2 linked regions of the Saccharomyces cerevisiae S288C genome follow. Changing the gene in region 1 together with any one later gene gives a genetic interaction. Each region holds a gene or a part of one and is shown in the gene's direction. Other genes may lie near its edges.

Region 1 (3,544 bases):
ACCAGCTACATGTCTGGCTATCTATAGAATTTTACCACCACTAGCTAAATTTTTTATCATGGCAATGGTTTTCAACGAAAATGAAGTACCTTTGTTGGATTTAGATAAATGGGTTAACTCTAATGGTAAATTGCAGTTTCAGAATGCAATCAAATCGATGAAGTCTTTGCATCTTCTTATACCAAATAAATCATCTGGTACTTTGATGATCAACCTAAACCCAACATTCAAAATCAGCCTGAGGAACGCATTAACGGGTGGGGAAGTTCAAAACTCATTCGGTGTGGTTGTAGAGGAAAACGTAGTTAGCCTGGACTTGTTGGATGAATATTCAGCTAATAAATGGGAAACAATATTACATTTCATGGTTGGCACTCCCCTCGCTAAAATCCCATCTGAAAAAGTACTGAACCTTTTAAAACACAGTAAACTAATGGAAGAGGTAAACTCTACTGGAGAGTTCAAAATCACTAATGAAGGCTTCCAATTTCTTTTACAAGAAATCAACTCCCAATTATGGACATTATTATTGCAATATTTAAAAATGATCGAAACGTCCAAAATGGATTTAGTCGATGTTTTACATTTTATTTTCATGTTAGGCGCATTGGAAGTTGGCAAAGCCTATAAAATCGATGCATTAAGCGAAACACAAAGAATTATGTTACAAGATATGCGAGACTATGGTTTGGTATTCCAGAAGCATTCAAATGATAGCATTTTTTATCCAACAAAATTAGCTTTGATGCTGACTTCCGATACCAAGACAATCAGATCTGCCTCCAATGCGATGGATAGTGTACTGAGACAGAATAGAGAAGAGCCGTCAGTAAATGAAGACGGCGCCAACGGGAAATCCACAACAGATATCACTACATCAGATGATTTGAACAAAGCAGGTCTAAAAAATCAAGATATACCCGATGGCTCATTGATTGTAGAAACAAATTTCAAAATCTATTCATATTCTAATTCACCTCTGCAAATTGCTGTTTTGTCTCTTTTTGTTCATTTAAAGGCAAGATTTGTGAATATGGTATTGGGTCAAATAACAAGGGAATCCATAAGAAGAGCATTGACCAATGGTATCACTGCCGACCAAATCATTGCCTATCTGGAGACACATGCACATCCTCAAATGAGAAGGTTGGCAGAAGAGAAACTAGAAAAAAAATTAGAGCTGGACCCCAACTGTAAGGAGCCTTTACAAGTTTTGCCTCCTACCGTCGTAGATCAAATCAGATTATGGCAATTAGAGTTAGATAGAGTCATTACATATGAAGGTTCCTTATATTCTGATTTTGAGACTAGTCAAGAATACAACTTACTAAGTAAGTACGCTCAAGATATCGGTGTTTTGTTGTGGAAAGACGACAAAAAGAAGAAATTTTTCATCTCAAAGGAAGGTAATTCTCAAGTACTTGATTTCGCTAAAAGAAAGTTGAAAAAGAAACAATAAGTATATATACATATATATGCCCCTACATATCAATGCATTCAACGTAACAATTGCGCTAACACACGCGTCTTTCTTGCGCAGTAATTGTTTTCCTTTTTCATTCTTTCTTCTTTTGCATCTCTATCAACAAAATTTCGGTATCTAAGCTTTTCCTAAAATATCCCTTAAATGCAAACCTATCGAAAAGTAGGGGAACTACCGAATTTATAATTAACGCTTCAACTTTCGACCTATTGCAAGGCCAACTATTTAAGATATTTCAAACTAAAGTACTGTGTCAATGTTACTGAAAAACTTACACAGTCTCTTACAACTACCAATTTTTTCGAATGGAGCAGATAAGGGTATAGAACCAAACTGCCCTATAAACATTCCATTATCATGTTCCAATAAAACTGATATAGACAACTCGTGTTGTTTTGAATATCCAGGTGGAATATTTTTACAAACCCAATTCTGGAATTACTTTCCAAGCAAAAACGATTTAAATGAAACTGAATTAGTGAAGGAGTTAGGGCCTCTAGATTCATTTACAATTCACGGATTATGGCCAGATAATTGTCATGGTGGCTACCAACAATTCTGTAATAGGTCCTTACAAATTGACGATGTTTACTACTTATTGCATGACAAGAAATTTAATAATAATGATACATCCCTGCAAATATCGGGCGAAAAGCTGCTTGAATACCTAGACTTATATTGGAAGAGTAATAACGGGAATCATGAGTCCTTATGGATACACGAGTTTAATAAACATGGCACGTGCATTAGCACAATTAGACCAGAGTGCTATACTGAGTGGGGTGCTAATAGTGTTGACAGAAAAAGAGCGGTCTATGATTATTTTAGAATAACTTATAATCTATTCAAGAAATTGGACACATTTTCAACACTAGAAAAAAATAATATTGTCCCAAGTGTGGACAATTCCTATTCTTTGGAGCAGATAGAGGCAGCACTAAGTAAAGAGTTTGAAGGAAAAAAAGTCTTCATAGGCTGTGATAGACATAATTCCTTAAACGAAGTATGGTATTATAACCACTTGAAGGGTTCCCTTTTGAGCGAAATGTTTGTGCCCATGGACTCACTTGCCATTCGAACAAATTGTAAAAAAGATGGTATTAAGTTTTTTCCAAAAGGTTATGTCCCAACTTTCAGGAGGAGACCTAATAAGGGAGCAAGATACAGAGGAGTCGTTCGTCTATCAAATATTAATAATGGAGATCAGATGCAAGGCTTTCTAATCAAGAATGGACACTGGATGAGTCAAGGTACACCAGCGAATTACGAGTTGATTAAATCTCCCTATGGGAATTACTACTTGAGAACTAACCAAGGGTTTTGTGACATTATTTCGTCTTCATCTAATGAATTGGTCTGCAAATTCAGGAACATTAAGGATGCAGGTCAATTCGATTTTGATCCAACGAAAGGAGGAGACGGATATATTGGTTATTCTGGTAACTACAACTGGGGCGGTGACACCTATCCAAGGAGAAGGAATCAAAGCCCCATTTTCTCTGTAGACGATGAACAAAATTCCAAGAAATATAAGTTTAAATTAAAATTCATCAAAAATTAAAAGTTTTCCGATTGAAAACTTCATTTAGCTTTACCCTTCTCTGAGAAGAAAAGATTGAAATGCGTATATCTATATTTTAGTTTTAGTTACGATTATGCTGGTATTATTTAGTTAAGTACTTAATTCAATTGTGAAAAGACGAAGACAATATTTTTAGTATATCCTCCGTACTTTCATTTTCAATATGGATTTGTGACGATCGATCTTCTCTTGCTCCTTCTTTATTAATGTTGTCGCTACTTCTTCGATAGGGCATATCATTCTCATACAGTCCACCCATTTGTAAGCCATACGTCTTGTTGGTCGGAAACCCAGAAAAAGAGCGGGAGTGTTCGAGAGAGGCAAAATTTTTATCTCCTCTGTCTGAGATCGAATTCAGTATGAATGATTCCAGTCTTGTTATTCTTGATGTTAGATTATCAATGACAGTGCCTTGGTCATATACGATTCGTTCTAAATATTTTATTTCTAATCTTTGGTCATCTATCACATTTTGTGAT
Region 2 (7,358 bases), on another chromosome or scaffold:
CCCAGTTGCGTCAAGAGCATCTAAATCTTTTACCTCGTTTTAAAAAACTGCAGTTAAAGGTGAATAGTGCGCAGGAATCCATTCAGAAAAAGGAACAGTTAGAACACAAATTGAAGCAAAAGGATTTGCAAATGGCCGAGTTGGTTAAGGACCGTGACAGGGCAAGGTTAGAATTAGAAAGATCCATTAATAATGCAGAGGCGGACAGTGCAGCGGCGACAGCAGCAGCAGAAACAATGACTCAGGATAAAATGAACCCTATTCTGGATGCCATATTGGAAAGCGGTATCAACACCATCCAGGAATCGGTCTATAATCTCGATTCTCCTTTGAGTTGGTCGGGTCCGCTGACTCCACCCACTTTCCTTTTGTCCTTATTGGAAAGTACTTCTGAAAACGCCACTGAGTTTGCCACCAGTTTCAATAATTTGATAGTAGACGGCCTTGCACACGGCGACCAAACAGAGGTCATACACTGCGTTAGTGATTTCAGTACTTCGATGGCTACACTGGTGACCAATTCAAAGGCGTACGCCGTTACTACATTACCTCAAGAACAGTCTGATCAAATTTTGACCCTGGTGAAGAGATGTGCCAGAGAGGCCCAATATTTCTTCGAGGATTTGATGTCTGAAAATCTTAACCAGGTCGGTGATGAGGAGAAAACTGATATCGTCATCAATGCCAACGTGGACATGCAAGAGAAGTTGCAAGAGCTATCTTTGGCTATCGAACCGTTATTGAACATACAATCTGTCAAATCAAATAAAGAAACGAACCCACATTCTGAATTGGTTGCCACTGCTGACAAAATTGTCAAATCCTCAGAACACTTACGTGTTGACGTTCCTAAACCATTGTTGTCATTGGCATTAATGATTATTGATGCTGTTGTGGCTTTGGTAAAGGCTGCTATTCAGTGCCAAAATGAAATTGCCACCACGACAAGTATTCCTCTGAACCAATTCTACTTGAAAAACAGCAGATGGACAGAAGGTTTGATCTCCGCGGCAAAGGCTGTGGCAGGTGCAACCAATGTTTTAATCACTACTGCTAGTAAGTTAATCACTTCTGAAGACAATGAAAACACATCACCTGAACAATTTATCGTCGCCTCCAAAGAAGTGGCCGCATCCACAATACAATTGGTAGCAGCATCGAGAGTGAAAACTTCCATCCACTCGAAGGCCCAAGATAAATTGGAACACTGTTCCAAAGATGTTACCGATGCATGCAGAAGTTTGGGTAACCACGTCATGGGTATGATTGAAGATGATCATTCGACTTCGCAACAGCAGCAACCATTGGACTTCACATCCGAACACACATTGAAGACTGCCGAAATGGAACAGCAAGTGGAAATTTTGAAGTTAGAACAATCCTTGAGCAATGCCAGGAAGAGATTGGGCGAGATAAGAAGGCATGCCTACTATAACCAGGATGATGATTGATCATGAATTGTACTTTTTATATATAAAGATAAACGTTAATATAAATATATTTATTTGAAGACGTCTTTTACGTTTTTCTGTATCTGATTGGTATATGCGTTCTCGTCCGGGGACATTTTTTCTTTTTTTGGTGCGGCGAATGGAAATAATCGCGATAATGAATATGCAAGGAACAAAGAACAGACACCCCACCCTTATTATCATATCACATCTCTGTAGGAGTCTACCATTTTGCTTCTATTGTAATCTTTGCGACTTTATTTCAACTCACCATTCATACAAAATTTCTACTGCCGTTTAAAATAAGGAAAGCATAAAGATTAAAGCAAATTAAGAGGAACCCTTTTTTTTTTTGATTTCGATACAATGGCATTTTGGTTACCTCAAAATATACAAAAGCGGCTGCTTCTTTACGTCCTTCAGCAAATTTCGCTGTTCTCCAATATAGATTTATCTAACTTGGACGTTTCTATAGGGTCTAAGTCACATTTCTCGTTCCATGATGTGAATCTGTCACTTGATGATCTCAACATTCCAAACGTGCAAATAAACGAAGGCATAGTTGACGAGCTTGTGTTAAAATTAACAGTTTCTGGCGGTGTGGAAATCGATGGGTCTGGTTTAAGATTTATCATGACACCTTTATATTCCAGTGGCTCACAGGAACTTCACTCAGATTTTTTGGTTAAAAGCATCCAAGATCTTACGAATTCGATGTTACAATTTAGTGATCCATTGACCACATATAATAGGTACAAAGAAGATGACATTAGCTCTTCAGACAGTAGTAGTGATCTCAACTCTAATATAGAAGCTTCAAAACCAGCCGCAAATGGTTCTTATACTCTTCAAAATATGCGGAACAAGGCCCTTAATGTAGCCTTAGCGAAATTGAAAATAGCATTAAAGGACGTTACCATACGTTTCATAGTGAATGATAGAGATCCTTCCGATAACATTGTGGAGGTTCATCTAGAAAGCATACAACTTATTACTACAGACGCAAATTTACGACATATAAACATTGAAAATATCACCATTTCCTCAATACAAAAACAAGCTGTACCCGACTCTCCTGTGCATCCTTTCAATAATGACGATCTGTCACAAAGCGTTTATTTATCAAAAATGGAGGCTACTTCACTTTATATGAGCGCCATGGAAGAGCAATCAAATGAAGACCCCAGTGAACCCCAAGTTACACAAGAAGAACAAGAGAATGATAAGTGCAAGGAATCTTTAATGGAAATAAATAATTTGAACATAGCTTTTAAGGGTTTATCATCGGTCAATGATCTCAGAATGTCTAATATTGTTATTGATATTCAGGATGTTCATTTAGCGATACACAAAATTGTCGAAATCAAAAACTCCACTTTGAAGAATATTATAGATATCATTGTTACACATTTGGATGCCAATGAAAGCTTTTCTTGCCAGGATTCCCAAAGTCCTTCACCTGACAAGCAGGAACCATCAGCTCTTTCTTCTGTTGATATCAAATGTATATACTTAAACTTAGGCCAAGATATCACAGTAATTTTGAAGAGCTTTAAATTAGAGCAAAAGGAAAATAATTCATTGGCATTTTCTTTAGGCTCATTTTATTCTAATTCGAGTCCATTGACAATTAGCCATAAAACTAAGCCATTGCTCACTGGAGAACAAACCCCTCAAAGCATCGCATTAAATATGGGCGACGAACTAGATATTATTATCAGTCATGATGGCATTGCGCATTTCTTTAAAATCTTTCAGTTTGTTTCAAAATGTATGTCCTTTTATCAGAATAAGTCAAAAGGGATGATGCCTCAAATAGCATCGGATACTAAAAGGACCGTACAACTTACCTCAAAAGCAGTGAAGTTGTCGCTTAAGTTTCCATATTTTTTATTATGTTTCCAGGTTTCACCCTTCATTTACGACTCTAACCGTGAGTTGTACATTGAGCTTGTAGACGTATTTAAAAAACTACCTTCTCGGTGCACGAAAATATTGACAATGTCGAGCATTACGATCTCGAACTTGCAATCCCCTCTACAACTGGGTTCATATGACGATACTTTGAAAGAAGCGCTAATTTATAGTTCTGTCCATGCAATCATCAAAGAAGTGATATTTAACGAAGAATATTCTGGAATAGTACAATTAGTCGAAGATATTTCTGCGTTTGGAAAACTTTTCACGGATTCAAAGAACAGTGAATGTACAGGAAAGTCTAAAAGCAAGAGAGGCTCCTTTTTGCAGAGAAGTGTCAGAGTACTTAATTCTTCCAGGTTCGTTTACAAGCAGAGTTTATCCGCTAATTTTTCTCTCAAGATAGATTCCATGAAGTTAAAAGTATCAGAAATTATAGGGCCGCAATTTGGTTCTGTGGAAGCATTACTATCAAATAATTTCTTTGCGATTACGGATGACTCTCAAATTGTATATTTTACAAAGAACTTAAAGGTAGAAAGAAAGACACCGTCATTATTAGAGCCACAAGAAATCATGTCAGTAGTTTTGAATAAAGCAGTTAACGAACCTGTACTATATGTTCATAGAAGGGCGAATGGAAAGTTAAAAGTCATTTTTAACAACATTCGCATACATTACTATGCAAGGTGGTTAGAAATACTAAAGAAAAACATCGGCCCGGATAATGCCAGTTCAAAAGATGAACCTGTTTCACAAAAGCTTAGTAAAAAACAACCGACTTCAGGATTTCCCTGGGAACTCAAATGTCTGGACTGCTCTCTAATTCTGCACCCTTTCAGATTAAAAAGTGTAATGGTCATTGTACTTGACAATCTAACAACTGGTGGAAGTTCATTTATTCCGCAGGCAAAGCTTCTTTCAAAGGCGAATACACTCTTCCTAATAGATGACTATCAGAATTTCAAAATTCAAAAAGATAAGAACTGGCCTAGTTTGATAAATTTTTATGCTGGTCAAGGTTTCTCTGCAATCGGTAAAATAGATACTTTGAATTTTTTAATAAACAAATCCGATGGTGCCCTTTTATTGGATTGTAAAATAGAACAAGTTGGTCTTTCATTATGCGCGGATTCTTTTCAAACTTTTTGTCAGCTTTGTATTGATTTAAAATATCCTCAGACGTTTCCTGATGAGGAAAAATTTAGAACGCAGTTGAAAAATCCTATCGATGTATTCAAAGACATCGATTGTGATCTTTTCAATTCTGCCTTCATCCGGGAGAACAATCATCAAAATGATTACGACTCAGTGCATTTGGTAGACAGTTTTCTCGACAAAACTCACGAGTTCAACAATGGTGCCAGAAGTAAACTATCCTCTCAAGGTTCATATGAAATGGACAGTTCCTCTGGAACTGCCACAGGTGGTATTTTACTTCCCCATGAGAGTTATCTAGACTCTGCTCAGCCAAAAGAAGAAGATACTCCACCAATCGCCTCAAAAGAGCAAGAAAGGGATGTGGATATAAGGGGTAGTATAGATGTCGAAAAAGTTGTTATAAAACTATTCGATGGGTATGATTGGAAATATACGCGGAAATTTATCGCTAATACTGTTGAAAAACTGGATAAAGAGCTCAGTAAAGCGGAAGCAAGCAGTTCGAAATCAAATGTACCCCAATCAGAGGCAAATATTTTTGACTCTATTTATATATCTGCTAACAAAAACAATGTCACAGATTTGAGAAGAAATCTTGATGGTGAGATCCAGGGGGTTCAGAATTCCTTCTCTGATGTCTCTAAAGTTAATTTGCGACCTTCTAAGCATTACAAAGCCCTGATTCAATTGAACAAAGTACATGTCAATTTGAAGAATTATCGAGTAGATGAACCCGATGAGTCTAACTCTGATAATTCCACAGATGTTTTGAACCGATGTGTAGTTTCCATTTACGAATTTGAAATTATCGATAATGTTCCCACGTCCACCTGGAATAAATTTGTAACTTTGCTAAAGCACGAACCGTGGCCACACAGTTCTCCGATGTTTCTTCTGGACCTGGAATTTATCCGGCCGATCGACTTTTTGCAAGCAGTGGAATTAGTCATGCAATTAAATGTTGCGCCTTTACGCCTTCACGTGGATCAAGACACTTTAGAGTTTCTAATAAGGTTCTTAGGGTTCAAAGATAAAAGATTTGAATTAATTGATGAGTATCCAGATATTGTATTTATTCAAAAATTTAGCACTAATTCAATTAAGTTAAGATTAGATTATAAGCCGAAAAAAGTTGATTATGCGGGTTTAAGATCGGGCCAAACTTCTGAATTGATGAATTTTTTTACCCTTGATGGATCCAAGATTATTTTGAAAAGCGTAGTCCTGTATGGATTAAATGGATTCGATGAATTAAATAATAAACTGAAAGCCATTTGGACGCCGGATATTACCAAAAAGCAGCTGCCTGGCGTTTTGGAAGGACTGGCTCCTGTCAGATCGTTTATGGCGATTGGGTCAGGGGTGAAGACCCTAGTCACAGTACTAATGTCAGAATACAGGCAAGAAGGGCATTTGGGAAGGAGTCTGAAAAAGGGTGGCAATGTCTTCTTGAAAACGACAACGGGAGATTTTGTGAAATTGGGAGTTAAATTAACTTCAGGGACACAGGCGATATTGGAGAACACCGAGGAACTATTCGGTGGTGTTGGTTCCAATGGCAGGGTGTACGATGCATCGAAATTTGGCTCCGCTGATGGTGCAGACAGTGATACTGCAGCTGTATTAGACTTGGATACTTTATTCGAGGAGGATCAGTTAGTTGGTAGTAAATATTCCAGGATAAGAGATCATGAGCCCACGGCAGTAGTCATCGATATGTCTTCACCGGGAGATCACAACGAACCCACAATAGTGAGTCTGTACGCAGATCAGCCCCTCGACCTGCCCACGGGTTTGAAGGAGGCGTATAGTTCATTAGAAAAGCATATGCATATTGCGTACGATGCGGTATGGAGGGCAAAGGGACAGATGAAGGATGATAAACGGGGAGGGCCGAGCGCCGCAGCAGTTTATGTTGCTAGAGCTGCACCTGTGGCAATTATTCGGCCGTTAATTGGGGCCACTGAGGCAGTGTCTAAGACTTTACAGGGAATAGCTAATCAAGTGGATAAGACGCATAACGAGCAAATCAATGATAAGTACAAGTCCAATCGGACTGATTCGTAAAAATTTTTGCAGACATTTTTGATATATATTCAATTCATATTTTATCTCTTTTTTTTTTTTTTTTTTCAGACGTGGAATGGTGGGAAAGCCAAAATGTCACTGACCGCGGCTAAAAGTTAAAAAATACATGAGACGACATTCTTTTATGTATATATATTTACACATGTATACAAACAAATACACACGCAAGTAGAGAGGAGTTGGTGGGGGGAAGATGCCATTATAGAGGAGAAAAGAACAAAGAGAGTGAGCTTGCAAGATAAAATCACTCGAAAAAAAAAATTTCAGTGACTTAGCCGATAAATGAATGTGCTTGCATTTTTCTAATTATCCTTCGTATCTTCTGGCTTAGTCACGGGCCAAGCGTAAGGGTGCTTTTCGGGCATAACATACTTGTGTTTTTGCATATATTCCTTCAATCCCTTTGGACCTCTTGATCCGTAGGGGTAAATTTCCGGTGTTGGACCGTCCGGACGCTCTATGTGCTTCAGTAATGGGGTGAATATGCCCCAACTGATATCCAATTCGTCATCTCTGACAAAGTTGGAATGGTCACCCAGTAGGGCGTCTCTTATCAACACCTCGTAAGCCTCTGGAATCCAAAAGTCTTGGTACCTGCTTGCGTAAGTTAGATTCAGATCTGTGACTTGGGTAGCATTTGACAGACCAGGGGTCTTAGCATTAAACTTTAGGTACACAGCGGCATCGGGCTGCACTCTGATGACCAGTTCGTTATTTGGAATGTCTTTGAAGACACCCGAT

What was found. A genetic interaction does not mean that the proteins touch.
Region 2: of RNY1 (region 1) and ATG2, changing one suppresses a phenotype caused by changing the other (phenotypic suppression), as found in Saccharomyces cerevisiae (one study listed by BioGRID).

The regions. Positions count from the first base shown.
Region 1 is NC_001148.4:317,141-320,684, reverse strand, and holds RNY1 (ribonuclease T2), read left to right. Parts: upstream 1-1,739; coding exon 1,740-3,044; downstream 3,045-3,544. Other genes in the region: TFIIH/NER complex subunit TFB2, read left to right, coding at 1-1,459; SPC29 (Spc29p), read right to left, coding at 3,169-3,544. UniProt on the Saccharomyces cerevisiae protein: Rnase which modulates cell survival under stress conditions. Released from the vacuole to the cytoplasm during stress to promote tRNA and rRNA cleavage and to activate separately a downstream pathway that promotes cell death.
Region 2 is NC_001146.8:189,507-196,864, forward strand, and holds ATG2 (Atg2p), read left to right. Parts: upstream 1-1,817; coding exon 1,818-6,596; downstream 6,597-7,358. Other genes in the region: SLA2 (Sla2p), read left to right, coding at 1-1,451; ZWF1 (glucose-6-phosphate dehydrogenase), read right to left, coding at 6,920-7,358. UniProt on the Saccharomyces cerevisiae protein: Lipid transfer protein required for autophagosome completion and peroxisome degradation. Tethers the edge of the isolation membrane (IM) to the endoplasmic reticulum (ER) and mediates direct lipid transfer from ER to IM for IM expansion.